2 linked regions of the Nothobranchius furzeri genome follow. The protein of the gene in region 1 binds, or shares a complex with, the protein of each later gene. Links are inferred from orthologs where the notes say so. Each region holds a gene or a part of one and is shown in the gene's direction. Other genes may lie near its edges.

Region 1 (11,253 bases):
ATAGTGGTGAAATGTAATTAACACATGTTAACAGGGCAGATAATATCTTCAGAAACTTCTACAACAATCACATTTTAAGGAGAGTTTGTGGATAATCAAAATCCCCACTGGCTCACCGCTACGTGTTACCTTTATCCTGTCATAAATGTCTCCCATTATCATTTTGGTATTTCTCATAATAAGAACGTTTCGGCACAGCCAAGGCATTAGTGATGTGTCGGTCACGAACGAACCGGCTCTAAGAGCCGGCTCTTTGAAGTGAACGACGGGAGCCGGCTCGTCATTGGGAGCCGTCCCCTCCCCCCTCCCCTTTTGCTTTGGTGAAAGCCACAGGCGATTGATTGGTCAGCATGTGTAACTGCGTGTCCAGACTGTCCACACACAGAGCAGTAGGGGCGAGGAAGAGGGAGGATCAGACTCAGACACACAGCAGAGCACATGCGGGCGGAGGGAGACGAGAGGGAATGAGGAGGAGGACAAAGGCGAGAGAGAGAGAGAGAGAGGAGAGTGCAACGAAGACGGTGAGAAAATGAGCGCCAGCAGTCGGAAAGTGGAGATTTCTGAAAGTGTTCAGTTATTAAATCCATAGAAATGATAAATATTTGATATATAGCATTTTTTTACATTAGTACATCATTTTGCATATAGTTTTGCATTATTTTGGTTATAAATGTACTCTACACAACAGAAAATCTGAGGAGCCACTTGGGAGCCGAAAGAGCCGGCTTTTTTTGGTGAGCTGAGCCAAAAGAATCGGCTCTCTAAAAAGAGCCAGAATTCCCATGACTACAAGGCATGGGAATAGGTTGTATAATCAACCCCAGATAGCTTGATCCAATCGATTTAGCAGGTGGGTATTGTACTTCCTGCGCAGAGCGGAAGCTCTTTCCTTTTTGCTGAGCGTGTCTGCCATGGCACCCATAGTGAGTAGTCAAACGACTAAATAAAGCGCACACAGACAACGCAGCTTAGCTTGTATTAGCCACCCACAGCCGAGTATAAACCCGGAGCACAGTAAAATAAGAAATGCTGTTCTGGCGTCGTACCTGACTGTACTTCCAGTAGTTGGTCCAAAACACGCAGAGCTAGCCGCGAGCGCTAATGTTAGCTAGCTGAAGCTCGCAACGGAGTAAACGGGTGTTTTCAGTTGTTTCAAGAGTTTTGTTTTAAGTAGTGAAATTCCGACTCGGGGTCACGTTCCCTGCCCATTTGTGCGAACTTGTCATCGTGTTTTTATCCGATGGTTTCCAGTCCGGGCTGGTTTCGTTATTCTAAGGTGATTCTTTTTTTTGGTTTTGGTTCAAGTTCACGTTTGAGCTTCTTGTGTTTGTGTTGTAGAAGAAGCAGCAGGTGTTCAGGAAACCAGGTGGGAAGAAGAAGAAGCAGATCCTGAAGTTCACCCTGGACTGCACTCATCCTGTGGAGGATGGCATTATGGATGCTGCCAACTTTGTAAGTATCCTTCAGACACAAATGACAGCAGCTGGAATACATAAACAGTAAAGTGTCAGTTTTATGGATCAAACCAAATATTTCTGGATGCTGTAATCAGCATAGAAACAGAGATGATTTTGATGTATCGTCATTTTAATCACATCCACATCAATAGGAAACGTGTTCAGATCACAGTAGATCGTTTCACTTAGAAAAGCATGCGTGCCATGAAGTTATGTTCAAGTCCTGCTGTGGTGTGATGTCCTCAAACAGGAGCAGTACCTGCAGGAGCGCATTAAGGTGAACGGCAAAGCTGGAAACCTGGGTGGTGGCGTTGTGTCCATTGAGAGGAGCAAGAGTAAAATCGCTGTGAACTCAGAAGTGCCCTTCTCCAAGAGGTACAACATGAAATATAATACCTGGTGTCAGAAATGTCTTGTGTACCTCAGTGAGCCCATTTCTTTGCAATATGCTCGGTGCAAGGAAATGGTTTCAGTTAAACGGACGGTGAAGTGTTTGTGAACAGGATGTGGTGCCACCTTAAATTAGGGACAATCTATGAGGACAGTCTAAGTTAGCAGCCAACTGGCAACATAAATGTGCAATAGAGTCATAACGACTGGAAATTACCCGTTTGGTTTTGATCATATTTGTATTTACTGCTCAGTGACTGCATTAGTTTGTCATTTTCCCACCTGAAGACGCCACCCAGCTAGTCACCTTCTCAGCTGGGTGGTAAACCCTCTAAAGTCACCGATTCACAACAATATCCTCAGGTGATGCTACCAGACCAAAACGATCCTATGTGTGGAGGGGGACAAATAGCATATCCAGTGTGAGGGTATGTTCGTCAGAACAGTAGTTCCCAACCTCGGGCCAGTGACCAAAATTGTCCTAAGCGGAGGTTGTGAGATTGCCAAAATCGTATTTGTTAAGAATACATTCATGAAATCCTGATAACACACCTGATATTATAGTTAAAGCTGGGTATGAGTTATTGCCCTGTGTGGCGAGGTGGAGAAATGAGGGCCCGGGCGGGATTCGATCCCCAGACCGCCGGGTGAGAGTCACGTGTGCCTACCAGTCAGCTAAAGTGACATCCCCTTGGCCAAGTAGCCAGAGCGCATGATCAATCGGGATACTGTGACAGGACGCTCATCCTGTCACACCTGTCTGTCTAAATGAATCCCTTTTTATTGTGTTTATGTGGGTAGAAGTTAGGGTTTGATAAGCATCTCCTCAAGGGAAAAGGTTGGGTCAGAGGATGTAATAAACAGCTGTAAACAAATATAGTTTTAGATTATTTGATGCAAAGCATGTTTAAAGACCTTAAATTAGAAGGGCTTCAAGTCTTATTTAGGTTTTGTTCAAGTGAAACGTTTTTCTCAAATATAAAGATATTGATGTTTGATTTGGTGTAACTTCTTTAGGTGTAAAAGAAGATGTTTCAGTAATGTTGGTAGACATCAAACCTAGTTTTGGTGTTTGCTTCAAGTCCAAAATAGAGAGCGCCACATGAGAACATCACCACCAGAGGGCGACATTAGCCAATGAAGTTCTTCAATAATCTCCAGAAGAAGTCTGGTGGTGCTCCAACCAACCTTGATGCCAGATAAATGTCATCTGTCCTTCTAAATTAATATAGTAAAAATACTTGAATGGCTTTTTATGCATGTACAGCTTGTTTATATGTAAGCCAATAAAGTCAGAGCACGTTATCAGAGATTTAATTCTTATTCACTTAGTGAGAACCTCGTTAGCTCCCACTGTAGTGTGGAGCTTTTTCCTGAGGTGTCTTACATTTTTATTACATTTTGCATACTACTCCCCCCCCCCCCCCCCCCCCCCCCCACACACACACACACACACACACACACGCCACACACATCAGATACTAACCCTGGAAGCTCAAGCTACGACCACACTGGCTCAATTCCAGTAAATAACATGAAACATTACTGTTCCCGTGAAGACGAGACATCCTGTCCCACCTCGTCTCACCTGTCTCCTCCATCTTTTTTTTCTTTTTCAGGTATTTAAAGTATCTGACCAAGAAGTATCTGAAGAAGAACAACCTCAGGGACTGGCTGCGGGTTGTGGCCAACACCAAGGAGAGCTACGAGCTGCGCTACTTCCAGATCAACCAGGATGAGGAAGAGGAGGATGAAGATTAAACCTAGCAATACTCTTAATAAAAATCACGAAACAAAAGAAAAAAGTCTGTCTTTGTTGTTTTTCTTCTGTTTTGTGTTGCACATCAGTTCCCTGTAAGGTCGTACTATAGAGGTCGTACTTTAGTTTTTGTCTTAATTATGAATCAACAGCATTTAAATAGTTTCAGAAAAACAGGAAAAGCTGGAAAACCAAATAACTGGAAGTCAGATATGTAAATGGAAGTTGTTCTGATGCACAGAAATGAACTGCGCTTCATTGTCCTGTTTTACATCTGTGGTAACCTTGGCAACAGATCACCGGAAGTCATCATGTGGGATTAATCAGCTGCACCTTTGTGGCGTTAATGAACCAGAATTGTAACCCATGTGTTTCATAAGGACGGGCTCCTGTCTCCAGCAGAGATGCGTGAGGTCTCAGCCCTCCACGCAGCTCTCTGGCTGTTCGGGACAAGTTTCCGTCTCCATTCTTCAGACTTCCTGTGCGGAAGCGTCCGGATTCTCCCGCTGCAGCACGAGACGCGCAGCTGTGATTGATTTTAACACTACTAGTTAAAATATTAACTAGCGTGCGACTAACTAGTTGATGGGTGAAACTATGGGATGTATCGTCATGGCAACAGACCAGACGTCACAATCTGGGCATGTGTGTTCCATTTTTGTCTTTCTTATTTTTCAGACTGCGAGACCTGGATAGGGATCTGTGGAAACCTTCCTAATGTTCATTTTTCTACATGTATATTTTTGATCTAAAGGGAAGATTTTTCTATTATTTTCGCTGCAAATTAAAGAAATCCCGGCAGCGGTGAACAGAGAGTTGTTATTGGCTGAAGAGCGGCTGGGCTGCGGCGTCTGGAGGGTTAACTTCCAGTTTTCCCAGCCTAAAAGGGGCTTTGGGGGCTATGAGATAAAGATGCCGGGCTCGCTGAGTAATGAGGACGAGGGACAGGACGACATGGATTTTGAAGACGACGTGCCAGGTGAGGGATCCGGGAGGCGGGGTGTCCTTCAGATGGGTTTGCGCCGTTACGCCTTGAATGCGGGGAAAAGGGCTTGTCCTGCGCTCCCGATACCACGGAGGAGGAGGAGGAGGTGCAATAAGCAGTCATTCCTTTTACTCTCCCCGTCTTGTTCCACGACCTGGTGTCTGGAAGGCTGACGTGATGTTGGCTTTGCCTCCGGCTGTCCTCACATCCAGCCGGCTTTAGGGACATCATGGAAACCCGGCTGCAGGCTCCTGTGTTCTGTCAGGCTTCAGGCCATCCATGTCTCTTTTGTGACCAGGAAGCTGCTCGAACTTTATTAATTAATTTATTTTGTTGCATTGCATGACCGCAGAGGTGCGAAAGCCACGTGTGGGCTCCAGGAACAGCCTGTCACCTGCTCTAGGTTGTGCAATACCCCACATTCACTCTACCTCCATGTTCTGTGATGCAGCCCTGTTCTGGTCTCATGACAGCTGCACACAAGCCAGATTTCTTCCATTTCTCTTGTTACTGCAAATACAATGCCTATGCCCCTTAACGTAGGAGCTGTGTTATATGGGCCTATGCACTCCTCTTTAATGAGTTTCAGGTCTAATCAGTCAGGAACTGTTAGGAAGGCAAAGTTCCCAGTGTGGCCTGTGATGCTCTAAGTGCGACTGTTCCAGTCATGTCCTAAACCGGAAGTGTCTTAACTTTTTAAGACAATGGCCAGAAAGGTCAAGTTAAAGCTGGGATGTATAGTTTAAAAATTCTAAAGTAACTTAAAAATGTTTTAGTTAGACTGACCCTGCACTATGAGCCTAGGAAAATCTTTCATAATGTATATTTCCCTAAAGCCTAATTTATACTTCTCTGCCTGGGGGGGGGGGGGGGGGGGGGTAGAGACACACACACCACCTTAGGGAGCTTAAGTCCCGCCCATCTACTTCCGGACCATGAGTCCGCGGAAGAAGGAAAAAAATGAGTGCAAGTCAATGGGGCTAAAAACGCTATTTTTTAATTCTGCATGTTTTGTGCCGTGGACAAAAAATGGTGGTTTGCAACAGAGAATCGATAAAAAACAAGTCTGGTGATGCAACCGACTTGTTTTATCATAAAGTAAGGATTTAAGATGGCCAGGGCTGCACTTAAACTATGTGTGATATTTTCATATAGTTTTCAATAATTATTGATATTGATCAATATGATTTTTTCTATATCGTTTAGCCCTACTAGAGAGACAAAAATCAACCATCCATGAAAAGAAATCTGGCCCGCGTAAATCTACTCCGAGGACCAGAAGAGGACTTCTGGGTCGCTCTTCCTGTCCTAAACAATTACATGCTTCTTGCTCCAGTGTTATAGGGTAAAGGTGATCAAGTGGCTGATTGTTGCTAAGCACCTGTGGTAAAAGCCGGTGTAATACCAGCTTTCATTGATTTCACGTATGCATCGCGCTTTGAACTCTACAAACAATGTTTCATATTCAATTCAATTCAAAAATACTTTATTAATCCCAGAGGGAAATTGATACAATGCAGCTTCATTTCAAATGTTGGGGAAAACCAAGTTTTGGTGGTATGAAATGGACGGAAAGTGAAAAAGTTGACAATGGAAAATTCCAGTGACATTTCTGCACAAGATGGCTTCACATAAAACTGACTCAAGGTTACACCATTTCAAATAGAAATATTTATGATTTCACTCAAGCCCACAGAACGCTTTGGTTTTACGTGGAGAGAGAGGTCAAATCTGAGGATAAAAGCTTTCATTTGTTTATTATTTGTCTACATATAACCACTCAATTCACCAACGCTTAAAGGGTAATGCTAATTTAGTATTCATAAACCCAATAACCTCTGTAGGTGGTGCACAGTTTAATAGAGTTCCTGCAGAGATTAGGAAGAATGCTTGCAACTAAATGTGACAACGATTCATAAAAACGCTTCAGTGCTTCCAATCCATCATGCATCTAAAACAAGAAGTGATTCTAAGTTAATTCACTTCCATTAAGAAGCATTTTAAATTCCGACCATGTCAAGAATCTCAGACAAACCTCTGTTGGGACTTCGAGCCACAGACACTTTCGTATCAAAGCTTTTACTTGTCTTAGCACTTGGCCTGGCCTAAGTTCTTCTGTGTTACTCGAGAAGCTTAAACGTGTCACTGTGTTTTGTTACGTTTCTGTTTTATTTGCTCAGTTCTCTCCTCAAATTAAAAGATTATCACAGGCTTTTGTGTTGCCTGCAAATGTTGTCCTCGGTTGGACGAGGGACTATTTTTGGATCCCTCATTGTGAAAGTTGACACAATTTTTCTGCTGTACGTGCGCGTAGCCTAAGCAAAAGACTGTCTTTGTGTGTGCGCGTGTGTGTGTGTGTGTATACAGTATTTCAAGCTTTTTTTCCCTCCCGTCTGAAACTAGACTTAACTCGGGCTTTATCCTTCCACCAGTTTGATGAATTTATGTTCTAATAACAGCTTTGCCTAAAGACATCTGATATTTACCTATTAAAAATAGTTATTTTCCAGCTGTTTTTATTAATAAGAAAGTGGAGCTGTCAGTCATAAATGAGCTTCCTAACACACTCCGGCCTCCTTACCCCAGAGAGGTGGGAATCTCATTTGAATGGGTCAGTCTGCATCCCAAGCCCCTGCTGGAAGGTCACCAGTGTGTTTGTCATCCATTCACATTTTACAGAGAAACGGTTTGGCGAGTGAAGCTTTGGTCGTCTTCCCAACCCGAAGTGGTGCCAGACGTCCCCCGGGCAAATGACAGAGCAACCGTCTTTTCTGTCCAACACCTGGCACAATCAGGTCCACTCTCTAATCAAAACCTTTTCTCTCCTTGTAGCTTTCCCCCCCTAAGGCAACCTGACAGATTAAAGGGTAGTTAAGATATTTCCTTCCAAAAACTCTGCATAGTCATCATCAGTTGTTAAATAAAAAGATGCGTTCAATGTAAATGTTAAACCCCTCTTCAGTGCCTTGGGCTTCCCGACAGGGTCGCGGAAGGCGATTTATAAATAAAGCTTTGATTGATTGATTGAAGAACCGGACCATTTCTTTTTTAAAATTATTACCAGATTACAACCCAGAATAAAAGACACTAACTGGTGTGGATCTCTGAATAGCCGTTGTTTGTTTGTTTGTGTTTGTGTTAGACAATAGTTTTTCACAGGTTACCCAGGACATTTTAATATTGTGTGAGATGAATGAATGAATGTTTATTTAAATAGCGCTCTACACATCCCAGAGGGTGACCAAAGCGCTTCACATTTAATATGGAAAAAATAAAATAAAAATTACAATAAAACTATTTAAAAACCACAGTAAAAAGAGCCAGTTTAAAACAATTTAGAACGTGGAAATGGTTGTACTTTAGCTAAAACACAGAGCTCAGCTGACAGAAGCTAGTTTTGACAACCAAGTCAAATATGACCCCCCGAATTTCTGATGTGATGTTTAAAACTCGATGTAAAAAATCCTAAGTCTGACAGTGTGACCTTTTGCATGTTTGGAAAAAAGAAAACACTCGGTTTTTTGTCATTATTGAAGTGTAAGAAGTTTTCTGACAACCAAAGCTTTATGTCATGCATGCAGTGTGGTAAGGAAGTTGTAGCACAATGTCTGGACTTTACTGGCAGATAAACTCGGACATCATCAGCATAACAATGGAAAGACAGATTATGTCTTTTAAGGACATTTCCAAGCGGCAGCATGTATAGGGAGAAAAGTGTAGGCCCTAAAACAGATTCTTGGGGTACGCCAAATGGGAGGCTCGTCCTGGATGAATAGGTGTTACCTACATGACACAGAAACTTCTGCTGGACAAAAAGGATCTGAACCAGGTTAATGCAGTGCTACAAGTTCCTACATTTTCTAAATGAGAGATGAGAATTTATTGATCTATTGTGTCTAATGCTGCCATGAGACCCAGCAGGGCCAGAGCAATAGGAAGACCCATCAACAACATTAGGTTATTATGGACCTTTAGTAAGGCTGCTTCTGTGCTATGTCTAGATCTAAATCTGGATTGAGAAATTTCAAGGATGGAATTCTCTTCCAAAAATGGCTGCAGTGGAACGATTTTCTCCAAAGCCTTTGATAAATACGATGGATGTGAGACTGGTCTATAAATAGAACAGAGGGGTCCAAATAGTGTGTATTTTAAAGCGGTCTGATGACAGCATGTTTGAATGCAGCTGGGACAATTCCCGATCTTAGACAGGCAGTGAGCAGCAAATTTCCAATAACAGTGAACATCTGCTTCATCATTTTGGCAGGAATGACCAGGTCAGTAAAAGAGAGGCTGGTGTAAACTCATTAAATGTAGCATCAGGTAAAGAAAATAAAACTAAACCTACATTAACAGAGAGATTACACATTCTCAATAAAAAAATCCAAGAAGTCACGAACAGGACCCAGCACAAATCCAGGAGCAGCAGAACCAGGATTTCAAACAGAGACAGTGGCTTAAACAAAATCCTAGAGTGAGCATCTGTGGAGATCCCAGAAGAAAGACTGACATGTACATCCTTCATGCTTCCTGATATTTTGTTAGACTGTCACGTAGCATCCTCAGAGATACGTGCAGTTTTTCCTTTTTCCGCTTTCGTTCTGCTTTCCTACACTCCTGTTCTGCATCCCCCTTATGTGTCTCCTTGTGTTCCTCATGTGCCTCCTTGTGTTCCCCAGCCCACTCCAGGTTCTCTCTAGGTTTCCCTCACGTTTCCCTTCAGTCACCCCACTTATCATTAGGTTTCCGTCATGTTTGGATCATATAGTCAGTATCTCCCTTTGGTTCATTTTTGCTTCCTTCCCCAGTTAGGTCTGGTTTCCTCCCCTGCTCCGTTCTGCTCCCCATCTCTGTTATTAGTCTCACCTGTGTCCAATTCCCTTAATCACCCAGCCCCTGTGTACATAACCCTGTCTGCGTCTCACTGTGTTGTCAGTCCATTGTTTGTGTCAGCGTTGTCTCAGTTCCCTCTCATGGTCTCTAGGTTTGCACTTTAGGATTTTTGTATTACGGTTTTTGGGTTCCTGCCCTTTTGGATTTTACTTTTGGACAATTATTCCTAATAAAGGATTTTACGCTTTCACTACTCCTGCCTTGCATCATCCTGGGTCTGCATCTTGGGTCCTAACCTCCTCCTGGCTTACATCGTGACAATGAGTTCATCTCTGAACTAAAATGAGTAAAAATGTAATTTATCTGGGATTTAGAAGATATCGATGCACTGAAATGTTTCAGGTAGCAGCAGTTTTTACCATCTTCGCTCTAAAGGAACAAAGAGCTCTGAAAGTAACTGTAAGCAGTTTCCTGCTCCTCTGTCCCACTGGTTAAAAGTGCAATTACAAACAACCCTGCTGCAGCCTGCTGTAGCTAGTGCTAACAGCGAGCTAACACTAACATGAGCCAGCTAATAATACTAAATAAACCACAAAGTTAAAAGATCCATCCTATTAAATAACAAATAATATAACTTACATGTCCAGTAGCAACAAAGCCAGGTCACCATCAGTCCGTGATTTTGTAGCCTCCTTTAGCTCCCTCAAGCTAGCGTAGGCTGTGCCTATGCTTTCCCTCCACAGAAATTACTCTCGTTCATTTATCTCCAGGCTTCTTGTTCTTCTTGTGCTTTTTATTGACGGTCAGCGAACTAAAAATGCTAACCACTAGCATTGCAGCAAACAAGCAGGTAAAGAGTGCCCCTTTAGGGCACCTACCTGCCCCACAAAACTATCAAGTGCAGTTTTTTGGTCAGCAGAGGGCTGCAGAGTGGTGCTAAATATGAAAATGTTCAAGTTTCTAACCCAACAATAACTGACCTTAACGTTAAAGCTCTAGCCTGCATGGTGGCTGCATGGTGGCGCAGTGGTTAGCACTGTTGCCTCGCAGCACGAAGGTCGCAGGTTCAAAACTCGCCTTTCTGCGTGGAGTTGCGTGTTCTCCCCATGCATGCGTGGGTTTTCTCCGGGTACTCCGGTTTCCCCCACAGATCACAACATGCCCTATAGGTTAAAAAAATAAATAAATTGTAAGTCGTTTTGGGTAAAAGCGTCTGCTAAGCACATAAACATAAACATAAACATAGCCTAAAGTTTCAAAAACTATCTATTGTGACTCTGAAACCATAAATCTGGATGTGTCTTGGAAGCTTCTGTCCTGAGTTTTTAGATTAAACTCGATCTTAAAAATTGCAAACGTTGTCTGGGTTTTAGTATTGCATTATATCGTATCGTCTCCCTGTATTATATATTCTATTGCCAGATTCTTGCCCCTGTTATTTATGATAATCATTTACAAATGTATGCGTTTGTTAGAGTCTCGGGTGTTCGTTGTAAAACATTCAGGAAGTAAGGAAGTAAATTTTATTTATATAGCACTTATCACAGACATAGTCACGATGTGATTCACAAAGATCAAAACAAAATAAAACAAAGTCATAAAATCATAAATAGATTAACATCATAACATCAAAATGCTCTCAAAACATAATCAGATAACGTCAGAAAAATAGTCATAAAATTTTATAAACAGATGAAAGATTAAAAATTTGAGTAAAAAAAATAGAGTATGTTTAATTTATTGCCAGACCCATAACTTATAGGGACTTAAAACAAAGAAATGATTGTACAAAAGGAACTATGACTGACTTTTGATTTAAAAACTGCATTACA
Region 2 (11,222 bases), on another chromosome or scaffold:
AGGAAAACTCCCCTTTAACAGGAAGAAACCTCCAGAGGATCCTGGCTCAGTATAAGCAGCCATCCGCCACGACTTATCTGAAGAGTATCAATCAATCAATCAACCAATCAATCAATCAATCAATCAATCAATCAATCAATGCTTTATTTATAAAGCGCCTTCCACGACCATGTCGGGAAGCCCAAGGAGCTGAACACAGTACATGAGAAATGTGAAACATGATGAATAAATTAATAATAAAAGCAATTCAAATAGTGCAAAAAAGGTAAAACATTCTAGTAGAAGACAAATGGGTAAAACAAGGGATAAAGAGACAAATGAAAGCAGGGAAATAAAATCAACATAAAAGAGGGCCAAACTCAAACACGTTCAGGGAATGCCAAGCAGAAGAGGTGGGTTTTTAGGCGACTCTTAAAGACTGGCAGAGATGGGGACAGCCTAACTGAAGGTGGCAACTGGTTCCAGATAGCCTAGTGAACTAGACCAAATTCTTGCTTTGAAAAGTTTGGTCTAGGAATGCTCCACTGGAACCTCTGCAGCCCCAACAGCATTCTGGCTGGCCAATCACAGCTCTCTAGAGGGGTTTCAAACACATAAAGAGCTGTGATTGGTCCATAATGGTGAGCCAGTCATAGTGCTCTATCTGCTTAGTGAACAAATCACAGAGCTTTATCTGCTTTGTGGGCCAATCAGGTCACTCTATATGCATGGTGGGTGGGATGATGCAACAGAGTGAAACAAGAGTATGTCACATTCATTGTCCAGTAGCATGCGGAGATCATTTGAAAGACAACGGTAGAACCCGCCCCACAACCGAGAGCCGTCAATGGAGCATTGCCAGACTAAATAATACATTTATTTAGTCTGGCTTGCCAGGTTAGGTTCCAGAGTGACGGAGCTAGGACTGAGAAAGCCCGGTCCCCACGAGTACGACACCTAGAGCAAGGGACAGCGAGCAGGCCTTGGTCAGAGGAGCGCAGAGCGCGTGATGGGGAATGTCTGTTCAGGAGTGTGGCAAGATAGGGGGGAGCACCACCCTGGAAGAAACTGAAAACAAAGACCAGGAGTTTTAAGTGTGAACGATAACAGACCGGAAGCCAGTGCAGGGAGGCCAGAACCGGACTGATGTGGTCCCATTTCCTGGTCCCAGTCAGATACCTGGCTGCGCTGTTCTGCACAACCTGTAAGTGACGCAGTGATGACTGACACAACCCTGCATATAGAGAGTTGTAGTAATCAAGCCTAGAAATTACAAAAGCATGGAGTACCAGCTCCAGGTGGGCTCTCAACAGCATAGTCTTGATTTTTGCAAGGCGTCTCAGATGAAAGAAACTGGACCGGATCACAGAGTTGATGTGAGCATCAAATTTAAGTCCTGCGTCAATTTTCACCCCCAAACTGGTGACAACTGGTTTTAAATAGGGAGAAAGAGGGTCAAGATCAACATTGCGACCCGCAGCCCTGCTGTTGGGGTGAAAAACAATGAGCTCTATTTTTCCTTCATTTAGATGCAGATTGTTGGCCATTAGCCAAGACTTCACCTCATTAAGACAGGACACAAAGGACTGGATGGAGAGACCTTTCTCTTGACACGATGGAGAGTAAATCTGGCAATCGTCAGCATAAGATGGAACACTAGGCCATGTTTACAAAAGATTGACCCCAGAGGAAGCAGAAAAATGGCAAACAAAAGAGGACCAAGGATTGAGCCCTGCGGGACCCCCAATGGAGCCCCTCCCAAGAAGAAAAAACATCACCTAGTTTAACACAGAATGTCCTGTTGTGGAGATACGATCTAAACCAATCCAGAGCAGACCCTTTGATCCCAACCCATCGTTCCAAGTGATCAAGCAGAATCGTGTGGTCAACCGTGTAAAAAGCTGCCATCAGATTTAACAACAGAAGCACCACAAATGTATCCTGATCAAGTGATAGATAGATATCATTTAAGACCCTCAGTAGAGCCGACTCTGTGCTATGGCCAGACCTGAACCCTGATCGGAAAACCTCAAACAGATCAGAGTCAGCTAAATGTGAGACCCGCTGCTGATAAACAACTTTGGGGGTCTCCAAACAACTCTCAAAGATCTGAAAACAAATATTGTTCACCATCATGGTTCAGGGGAAAGATGCAGAAAGCTGTCTCAGAGACTTCAGCTTCTGTTTCCACAGTTAGGAACATACTGAGGAAATGGAAGGCTCAGTTCAAGTTAAGGCTTCAAGTGGCAGACCAAAATAAATCTCAGATAAACAAAAGCAAAGAATGGTGAGAACAGTCAGAGCATACCACCAGACCAGCACCAAAGACCTACAACATCATCTTACTGCAGATGGAGTCATTGTGCATTGTTCAGCTTCGCAGCACACTTTCTACAAGTATGTGAGAGTGATGCAGAGGAAGCCTTTTCTCTGCCCAAGGCATAAACAGAGCTGCTTGAAGTATGCTGAAGCACATTTGGACAAGCCAGCTTCATTTTGGAATAAGGTGCCGTCGACTGATGAAACTAAAATTGAGTTATTTGGGCATAACCAGGGTCATTATGCATAACCAGGGGCATTATACATGGAGGAAAAATAACACAGCATTCCAAAAAAAAAAAAAAAAAAACACCTGCTACCTACAGTAAAACATGGTGGTGGTTCCGTCATGCTGTGGGGCTGTGTGGCCAGTGCAAGGACTGGGAATCTTGTTAAAGCTGAGGGGCACATGGATTCCCCTCAATATCAGCAGATTCTGGAGATCAATGTCCAGGAATCAGTGACAAAGCTGAAGCTGCACCTGGGCTAGATCTTTCAAAAAGACAACAACCCTAAACACTGCTCAACATCTACTAAGGCATTCATGCAGAGGAACAAGTAGAATGTTCTGGAATGACCATCTCAGTCCCCAGACCTGAATATTATTGAAAATCTGTGGTGTGAGTTAAACAGAGCTGTCCATGCTCAGAAGCAATCAAACCTGAATGAACCAGAGATGTTTAGTAAAGAAGAATGGTCCAGAATACCTTCAGCCAAAATCCAGACTCTCATTGGAAGCTATAGGAAGCATTTAGAGGCAGTTATTTTTGCAAAAGGAGGGTCTAATAAATATTGAGTTAATTTCTTTTGTGTGTTGCAAAAATGTATGCACCTGCCTAATTTTGTTTTAAACAGTTATTGCACACTTTCTATAAAGCCTGTAAAGTTTATTTCACTTTTCAGAAAGCACTGTGTGTGTCTCCTATATGATTTTTTTTCATAACATTTTTATCATAACAACCAACAATTTATACAGGAAAAACATGAAGATTGACAAGGCTGGCCAAACGTTTGCGTCCCTTTGTATTTACATGTATAAGATGGCTTGCTATAAAATAAGTACTTTTGTTGCTGTCTCATACCTGGAAACTAAATTAGCCTGAGGTAGGGAATTGATTTTGCACTGTTAATGGGCAGTTTAGGCATGTGCAAAAATAGCTGTAAATAAAGAATGTTTTCAGACATAAATAATGATTGTTTGTTTTCATCAGTTTACAAAATGTAAAATGAGTCAACCCTAACAAACAAACAAACAAACAAAGTAATTAAGAACTATCTTCAGTGTAAAGAAGAACAAGCAGTCCTGGAAGCGATAGTGTGCCCCCACAGAGGCCTGATCTGGGATTAAATGAAGATACAGAAGGATGTAAGGAAGCCTACATCCACAGAAGATCTGTGGTTAGTTCTCCATGTTTGGGTCATTATTTTAATGACTTCTGACTTGACTTGATAAAATCTATAAAGACCTACGACTTGACTCGGACTTGAACGCCAATGACTTGCGACTTGAATTTACTTGCAGCTGTTGACTTGATGATGACTTGAGCATATTTGATATTTTAGCACAAAAGTGGCACGATGTGGACAAATATCATGAATCATTCTCCATTCTGGGTTTGATTTACTGCTAAATGCAGCAGCAATTTGTTTATAATCAGTTTGAGTTGCACTTTCTGCTTGTTTGAGCAAATAAATGAAGCTTTAAGAAGCTTTATTTCTGAAATTTATTTATTATCATGTCATTAAATTGAAGTTGGACAGATGACTTGATTATGACTTGAAAATTCAAAGTTAAGGACTCATACTTGACTTGGACTTCCACATTGTTGACTTTGGACTCGACTTGGGCTTTGGTGCCTTTGACTTGGACTTGACTCGAGACTTGTCTGGAAAGACTTGTGACTTACTTGTGACTTGCAAAGCAGTGACTTGGTCACACCTCTATAGATAGATAGATAGATAGATAGATGGATAGATGGATGGATGGATGGATGGATGGATGGATGGATGGATGGATGGATGGATGGATGGATGGATAGATAGATAGATAGATAGATAGATAGATAGATAGATAGATAGATAGATAGATAGATAGATAGATAGATAGATAGATAGATAGATAGTCTTGCAATAAAACAATTGATTTATATTTGTTCATGTATTGATTGAATGTATTTTGATTTTGTCATATTTGAAGAGGAAAAATAAACTTAAATTTATTGACAAAAGTGTGTGTCTGTTCTGCAGCTGCAAACCTTGTCACAGAAGCTGAGTTGGTTTGGAACCAGTAATGCCACCTATGCTACCACTCACCTGGAGGGTCTCTGTGGCAGACAGTGCGCATGCGCGGCTCCCTCCCCTCCTCGGTGCTTTTTCGGCTCCATCCGACTTCTTTTGGCTGCTGCTGTGAGTTCACTGTATTGTTAAGTGCTGCCGTGAATCGGTGGTGGAGGAGGGGGGGCTGAATGCCAAATCTCTCCCGATACATCTGGAGTGTCGACGATCCTAATTTAAGCACCCCGTATCTTTCGAGGGACGGAGTTTTATCTTTTTTTTATTATTAATTATTTATTCCAAATTTCTTAGTTTATGCTGTACACTCTGGGAGGGCAGAAATGGCGGCCAACATGTACCGGGTCGGAGGTATGTATGTCAGTGTGGATCATTTTATTAACTGACGGAAACGCTTTCGGGTTTGCATCTCCTGGGTGTTATTGTAAAATATTAATAACTTTGCATGTAACTGTAAGATGCGGCTGTGCTGCACTCCTGTGTAAGAGTTAGTTTGAAGCGGAAGGTGAGTGTTTTCTTAATATTTGGGCTTCAAAATGGGTCAGGCCTCGCGTCTGTCGTGGCCACCGCAGCTAGCCGCCAGCAGCTAGGTGGCTCGCTCATAATGTAAACATTTTTCTACCGTCGGCACCTTTAGCTTCTTTTGTGCAGTGTGAATACTTAGGCTGGCGACAGTGAGAAGTGTTACGTGGTAGTATCTCGCCACTAGACGTGTGTTTATACGGCTGTTCAAATCGTACCACGGCCAGTATGTGGCTGCCTTTGTATTTGCCTCTTCTGGCATGCAGCCATTAGTCTTATTTAGCTAACGTTAGCAGCAGCAGTGGCTTCATTGATTACCATTATCTCCTCGTCACCACTCGTTCATTAGCCACGCAGTGTCTGTACTCGTTTTGGTAGCATTAAAACACTACTTTTGTTCCTCAATGTACATATAAAGTTATCTAACGTGCAGTTTATCAGACAGTCTGGCTTTGCGGCTAGCTCGTTAGCAATCTCCTGGAATTCAACATCAAGTGATTGTCTTCATGGCGTCGCTGAGTATGGCAGGCCGTTGTAACATCTTTAATTACACACACCTTTAATCATTGTTCTATGTAATAATAATAGCATTGCTCCTGGTCAAAAATATATTGGCGCTGGTTGAAATAAGAGATAAAATACATTATCCAACATTTAAGACATTAAACTTGACTGTGGTGCAGATGTAATTAAAATTGACTGACTCCGTTAGAAAACTTAACATAAATGATAAATGTTTTGTATCCATTATCCAGAATGTCACCTCACTTTGGTTATTATGAATTGTTTTACCCATCTTTGTGTATTGGGCTAACAGTCTTCCTACCATGGAACATAATATTATCAGCAGACAACCTGCTTCTAGGATAGCACCAGTGTTGTCATGGCTAATTTAAATTTCACCTGTTTTATGTTAGAATACCATCCCATCAAAGATTAATAAATGCACTAAACATTTTGTTTACATTTGTGATTACATTGATAATGGATGTTATTGCAGGCTGCATGGTGGCACCATTGTCCCGCAGCAAGAAGGTTGCAGGTTCAAATCCCAGCTGCAGGTTTTCTACATGGAGTTTGCATGTTTTCCCTGTGCGTGTGTGGGTTTTTCCCTCCAGGTTCTCCAGTTTCCTCCTATAGACCAAAAACATGCAAAATTAGGTTAATTGGTCACTCGCTTTGGATTAAAGGTCTGCAGAATGCATCTACAAAAACATTTCAATTACGAATGCAGTAGCTTTTGACATGTAATAACGTGAATTTTATTTCTGTTTACTTAAAAATTGTGTCTGAAATAATTTTTTACCTTGGTTATTTGAAATTAATATTGTGATTACTTTTTAATAAATGGATTGTAGATATTTCAAAAAGAGATTTGCATTCTGGATGGGAAGAATGTCATTGTTTTTTTTCTGGTTCTGAAGGTCTAATGCATAATAATGGGGATTTTATGTTTTAGAAATAGTGTGAGACATCAAATATGTTATTTGTAGGTAGGAGGAATTACATTATGGATAGCTTAAATAAGAAGTTTGACTATGGAGAACTGAATTATGGGTGTTTTAAGTGTGACTTATAAAGAAGGATGAAACTTTACATCTATAGTAATACATACCTCACCTTTAAACTACTTTAGGTTTTTGAAATAGCCTAAATTTAATGGTTCATCACATATTACATCACCTGTATAGTTGTTCTTGTAATATTGATGTCACCTTTAAGTTCTGCAGTCTTCTGTATAAAACCCACCCCTAAACATGTCAAATTCAAGTTTTCCCAGCTAAAACATGAAATAACTAGTAGAATAATTAGAACGTTGCTTTGTGACTGAAACAGTTCATCCTAATGCAATTATTGCAAAAATAAAGACAAGCAATGCAGTTTAGCATTGATCAAACATCATCTGAGGTTTGTCCCACAGGAACATCTATCCATAGTGATCTGACGCAATATGTTTTGTTGTTGCAGATTATGTTTTCTTTGAAAACTCCTCAAGTAACCCTTACCTGATCCGTCGGATAGAAGAACTCAACAAGGTACTGCGTTGTTTGCTTGTGTCATTTATTTGGGTGTTTTTGCCTGAGGGTGAATAATTTGGATTCCTGCCTCCAACCCCCACCTAATGCCCCTGTGTTCATGGTTATTGTTTGAAATAGACAGGTGTTCCTTTGTTTCCTAACTGTCATTTTATCACTGCACACACCCATTTGGGTGTGGAATTGTGTTTGTGAGGTAATGACTGAAATGGGCATTTTTAAAAGTACATAATGTTGCAGTAAAACTGCCAAATGGGGATTCATTTTCAGCTTGTACCAGGTACAAAAGTGCTTGTGGTCTCATAAGGTTTTTATGTTGTTGCTAATATTAAGCCACATCTAGATATTCATGTTTTGACCTATAGGTTAAGAATTTGTTACTTATGTCTCTGAATAGCAGACCAAAATAGTCAAAGTACAGACCTGCCAACCTGTACGCATTTTGTGTAGCAAGTATGCAACCCCTCTAAACTACGCAAAAAGCTGAAGACACGTGCGTTCTGAAGCAATTACGCATGTGATACTCATGTCTGACAACACAACTCAGCAGCGTGGTGAAGACGTTTAAACCAATCATCGTAGAAAGCGGAGGAAAGAAAATTGTGCCTAATCTATAGAGTAACACCCCCCCCCCCCCCCCCCCTCCCTCCGTTCTTTATTCTGTGTCCTGCCTGCTGTTTGCCTCTCCGTCTTCCGATTCCCACTCGATGCTGTTCTGGCATTTAAAAAAGTAAACTGTGTGTGTGTGTGTGTGTGTGTGTGTGTGTGTGTGTGTGTGTGTGTGTGTGTGTGTGTGTGTCAGCAGACTGGAATGGGACCAGCCATCTCTTGGTGAATGTGAACCGTTACACGTAACGTTACTTTCACCGTTGAAAAAAATTTGAGCCGAAATCTAAGTGGGGAAAAAAAAGAGAGAGGCGACTGTGTGTGTGTGTGTGTGTGTGTGTGTGTGTGTACTTTTGCCTTTGTATGTATCCATTGCAGATAGATTTGGCCTGTATATAAGGAGGAATGTGATAATTTATACTGTTTAAACATTTAGACAACAAATTTTGCAGCACAATTTGCAACCCATGCTATGGCAGATGAGGGAGAAGCAGACAGGGAGGGACTGGTTAGCAGACCTGCCAAAAAGAAGACCGTCCATGTCTCTAAGAAGTTTTTGCCTAAATATCAAGAACAGTGGCCATGTTTCGACCCAGTCTAAACTACCTCATCATGCATTTTGCTCATTCTGCAATTATAATGTGGACATAAGCCACCAGGGAGCTGCAGGTAATGTATAAATTAGCCCCAGTGATGATATGTGCTCTAAGCCAATTTAATATTACATTCTTGAAAACAAAAACTCCTATTTCCATGTACGAAATATATTACCATTAAATAATATTTAAAAATTGTTTTTATTAATTTTGATTAAATATTGAAATATTTCAGTGCAGTTAACTTGTGGCTATCACCTTGTATAAGCACACATATTAAATAGGAAAGCAAGCACAACTTTTACCTTTTACTGTTTATTATTAAAATACATGATTTTTTTTGGACTATTCAAGAAAATTTATCCAGACAGTGAAGTAGCCAAACAATATGAGTGTTGTATTTTTTTTATCATATAGTAATTTTCCAGCAAGAGAAAGGGGAAAGTAATGGAGTTGAAAAAAATCTGCGAAAACATGCCACAGAAGTGGTACTCAAAAATTTTGATAAGGTCGGCAGGTCCGAAAATAGCATGGTTTAGCCATGTGTAGCATGTAACATTTCTAATACTCTTCCTGCATTGTACTTGTGCTAAGACGTCAGAGAAATCTTACTCATCATATTTGAGATGGTGCCAACCCAGGGCTGCATTGTCATAAAAAAGGCAGAATAATGGGAAACAGGCAACACGATACAGAGAATACAGTCAGTTCTACCTGACCCTCAGCAAAATGCAGGCTGCGTGTTGTTTATATTAGTCGGATAAGCTGCAAAGAACCAGAAGTCATTAGCAGTTGATGTTTGGCCGTGTTTCATTGTGATTATGGTAGCGTAAATCTTTAGTGCTCATAAAAATAGTGGGAAAATGACTGGCGTTGCCTGCAACTTTCCTAAACAGCAGCAGGATATGAAGACTGCTAGTCCTATTTACCCTCAGAGCCATGACATTTAATAACTCGGTTTGAGTGTGTTAACGAGTTAAAAAGCATGACGGTAAATCAATCATCTCTTTAGAAAACACTGGTCAGCTTGTCTCAGAGGCAGAGCTCGATAGCTATACAAAGGAGCCGGCTCTCAGGGGAAATCTGAGTTTTGAGCATAAAGGTGTTTTCCACTTCTTTTTTGTCAGCATGGATCTATCTCCTCTATGTTTCAGACCGCCAGTGGGAATGTTGAGGCCAAAGTGGTTTGTTTTTACAGAAGGAGAGACATCTCTCACAGCCTCATCCAGCTCGCAGATAAACATGCAAGTAAGTGCTAACCCCTTTTTCTTTTATCACACTTTTAGTTTATGAAGGAAAGTTACTGTCTCTTTTAGGATTTATTATTTAGAAATCAACTTGAGCAAAAACATAAAATAATCAGATCAGTGTTGAGTTTTTGTTTGGTTTAATAATTGTTGGAAGTACTTCCTTTTGTTTTGGGTGAGAATCTTTAGTCCCTGACAAGCAACTTAAACAAATCAAGGGCAGAAATAGTTGCTTTTAGATCTTATATTAAACATTAATGTGAAAAATGTGTTTAAATTAGCGACGCACCCATACGAGTGGTGATGGGCATCAGTCAGTATTCAGCTCAAACGTCGTAGTCTTTTCCCCGAATCTGCCAGTGCATCAGTGCCAAGCAGCAGTCACTGGTGTGTGTTCTCGGCTAATGTCCTCTGTTGATAATAGTCCTTCACCCATTAGAATTGGCCCACATCTGTTTCTGCAGGCCAGACCTGCACAAGAATCAGGAGATCAGTATGGACCAAAATCTGTGCCTCTTTAGAGAAAACGCAACAAACATGCTATTAGGAGTCAGAATCAGTTACTTGTTTATTGCTTTATTTTGATAAATAACAGTTGCAAATGAACCAGTTCATTGTCGTTATTTTTTGATCTTGGAAGATTTTTTTTTTTTTACAATCGTCATAAAATAGTTTTCAGCTGCATTTGAGAGGCAGAGGAACCCCCCCTCCCGAGCCCTGTTGGGTACCAGTCAGGCAGACATTTCAGTCAGCAGAGTTTCTGCACGACAACGTTTACCGCAAGTTAAACCTATTTGGGGTTGACCGCAGAGCAGCTTTTTTCATGACTGCTGTTTCTGGAGATGGTCGAGGCTAAACACAGCTAGGATTTTTAATGCAGAAGATAATAAGTCACAGTTGTTATTGCTATTTCTCAGGTGTCATTACTAGGGAGGGGTTTATAGTGTGAGCAGTAGGGATGTGAATCTTAGAGCAACTCATGATTTGATTCCATTCCGATTCTCTAGGTGTTGATTCGATTCAGAATCGATTCTCGATTTAAATCAATTCACAGTCAATGTTAACAAAGAGTGTCAGTTCTAGGATTAACTACTTTGATGTACAAGTTAGTTAAAGCTATGGGACATTTTTTATTTTACTTTAAACTGGTCATGCTCAAAAAATGCAAATTTACAAGATAAACTAAAGTGATTCTAAACAGAAGCAATCTTTTGACCAAAAGGCAACATTTATTTTTGCTTACCTTGTAAAATATAACTAATCTTTAGTTACCTAACAGTAGCTTTGAAAGTAATACGGACAAATACTTTTCAAGTATGTGTGGAAACAAGTTAAACATTTGAGTCCTCAACCTGTTTAAAAAAGTGCCTCAGATTTCTTACAAAGGAAGATGTGTTCTCTCATTTATCAATAACTTCAAATAAATACTTGAGTAATCCTGAGTATTCACTTATCAACTTTAGGGTTGTCACGGTGTGAAAATTTAACTTCACGGTTATTGTGACCAAAATTACCACGGTTTTCGGTATTATCGCAGTATTTTTTTTAAACGTGCTACATTTTCACATGTATGTATGTCAGGAAATATTGTCCTCAGTTTGTGTAAAATTTTCCCAAAAATGTGT

Evidence for each region.
Region 2: chd5 (region 1) and mta3 share a complex: the UniProt entries of both Homo sapiens proteins name them as parts of the nucleosome remodeling and deacetylase (NuRD) repressor complex. The link is inferred for Nothobranchius furzeri from reciprocal best matches to the Homo sapiens genes CHD5 and MTA3.

The regions. Positions count from the first base shown.
Region 1 is NC_091743.1:75,277,423-75,288,675, forward strand, and holds the start of chd5 (chromodomain-helicase-DNA-binding protein 5), read left to right. Parts: upstream 1-3,775; 5' UTR 3,776-4,518; coding exon 4,519-4,585; intron 4,586-11,253. Other genes in the region: rpl22 (large ribosomal subunit protein eL22), read left to right, coding at 1,241-1,276, 1,339-1,452, 1,708-1,832, 3,467-3,608. UniProt on the Homo sapiens protein: ATP-dependent chromatin-remodeling factor that binds DNA through histones and regulates gene transcription. May specifically recognize and bind trimethylated 'Lys-27' (H3K27me3) and non-methylated 'Lys-4' of histone H3.
Region 2 is NC_091756.1:43,840,919-43,852,140, forward strand, and holds the start of mta3 (metastasis-associated protein MTA3), read left to right. Parts: upstream 1-4,732; 5' UTR 4,733-4,913; coding exon 4,914-4,941; intron 4,942-7,080; coding exon 7,081-7,148; intron 7,149-9,504; coding exon 9,505-9,598; intron 9,599-11,222. UniProt on the Homo sapiens protein: Acts as a component of the histone deacetylase NuRD complex which participates in the remodeling of chromatin.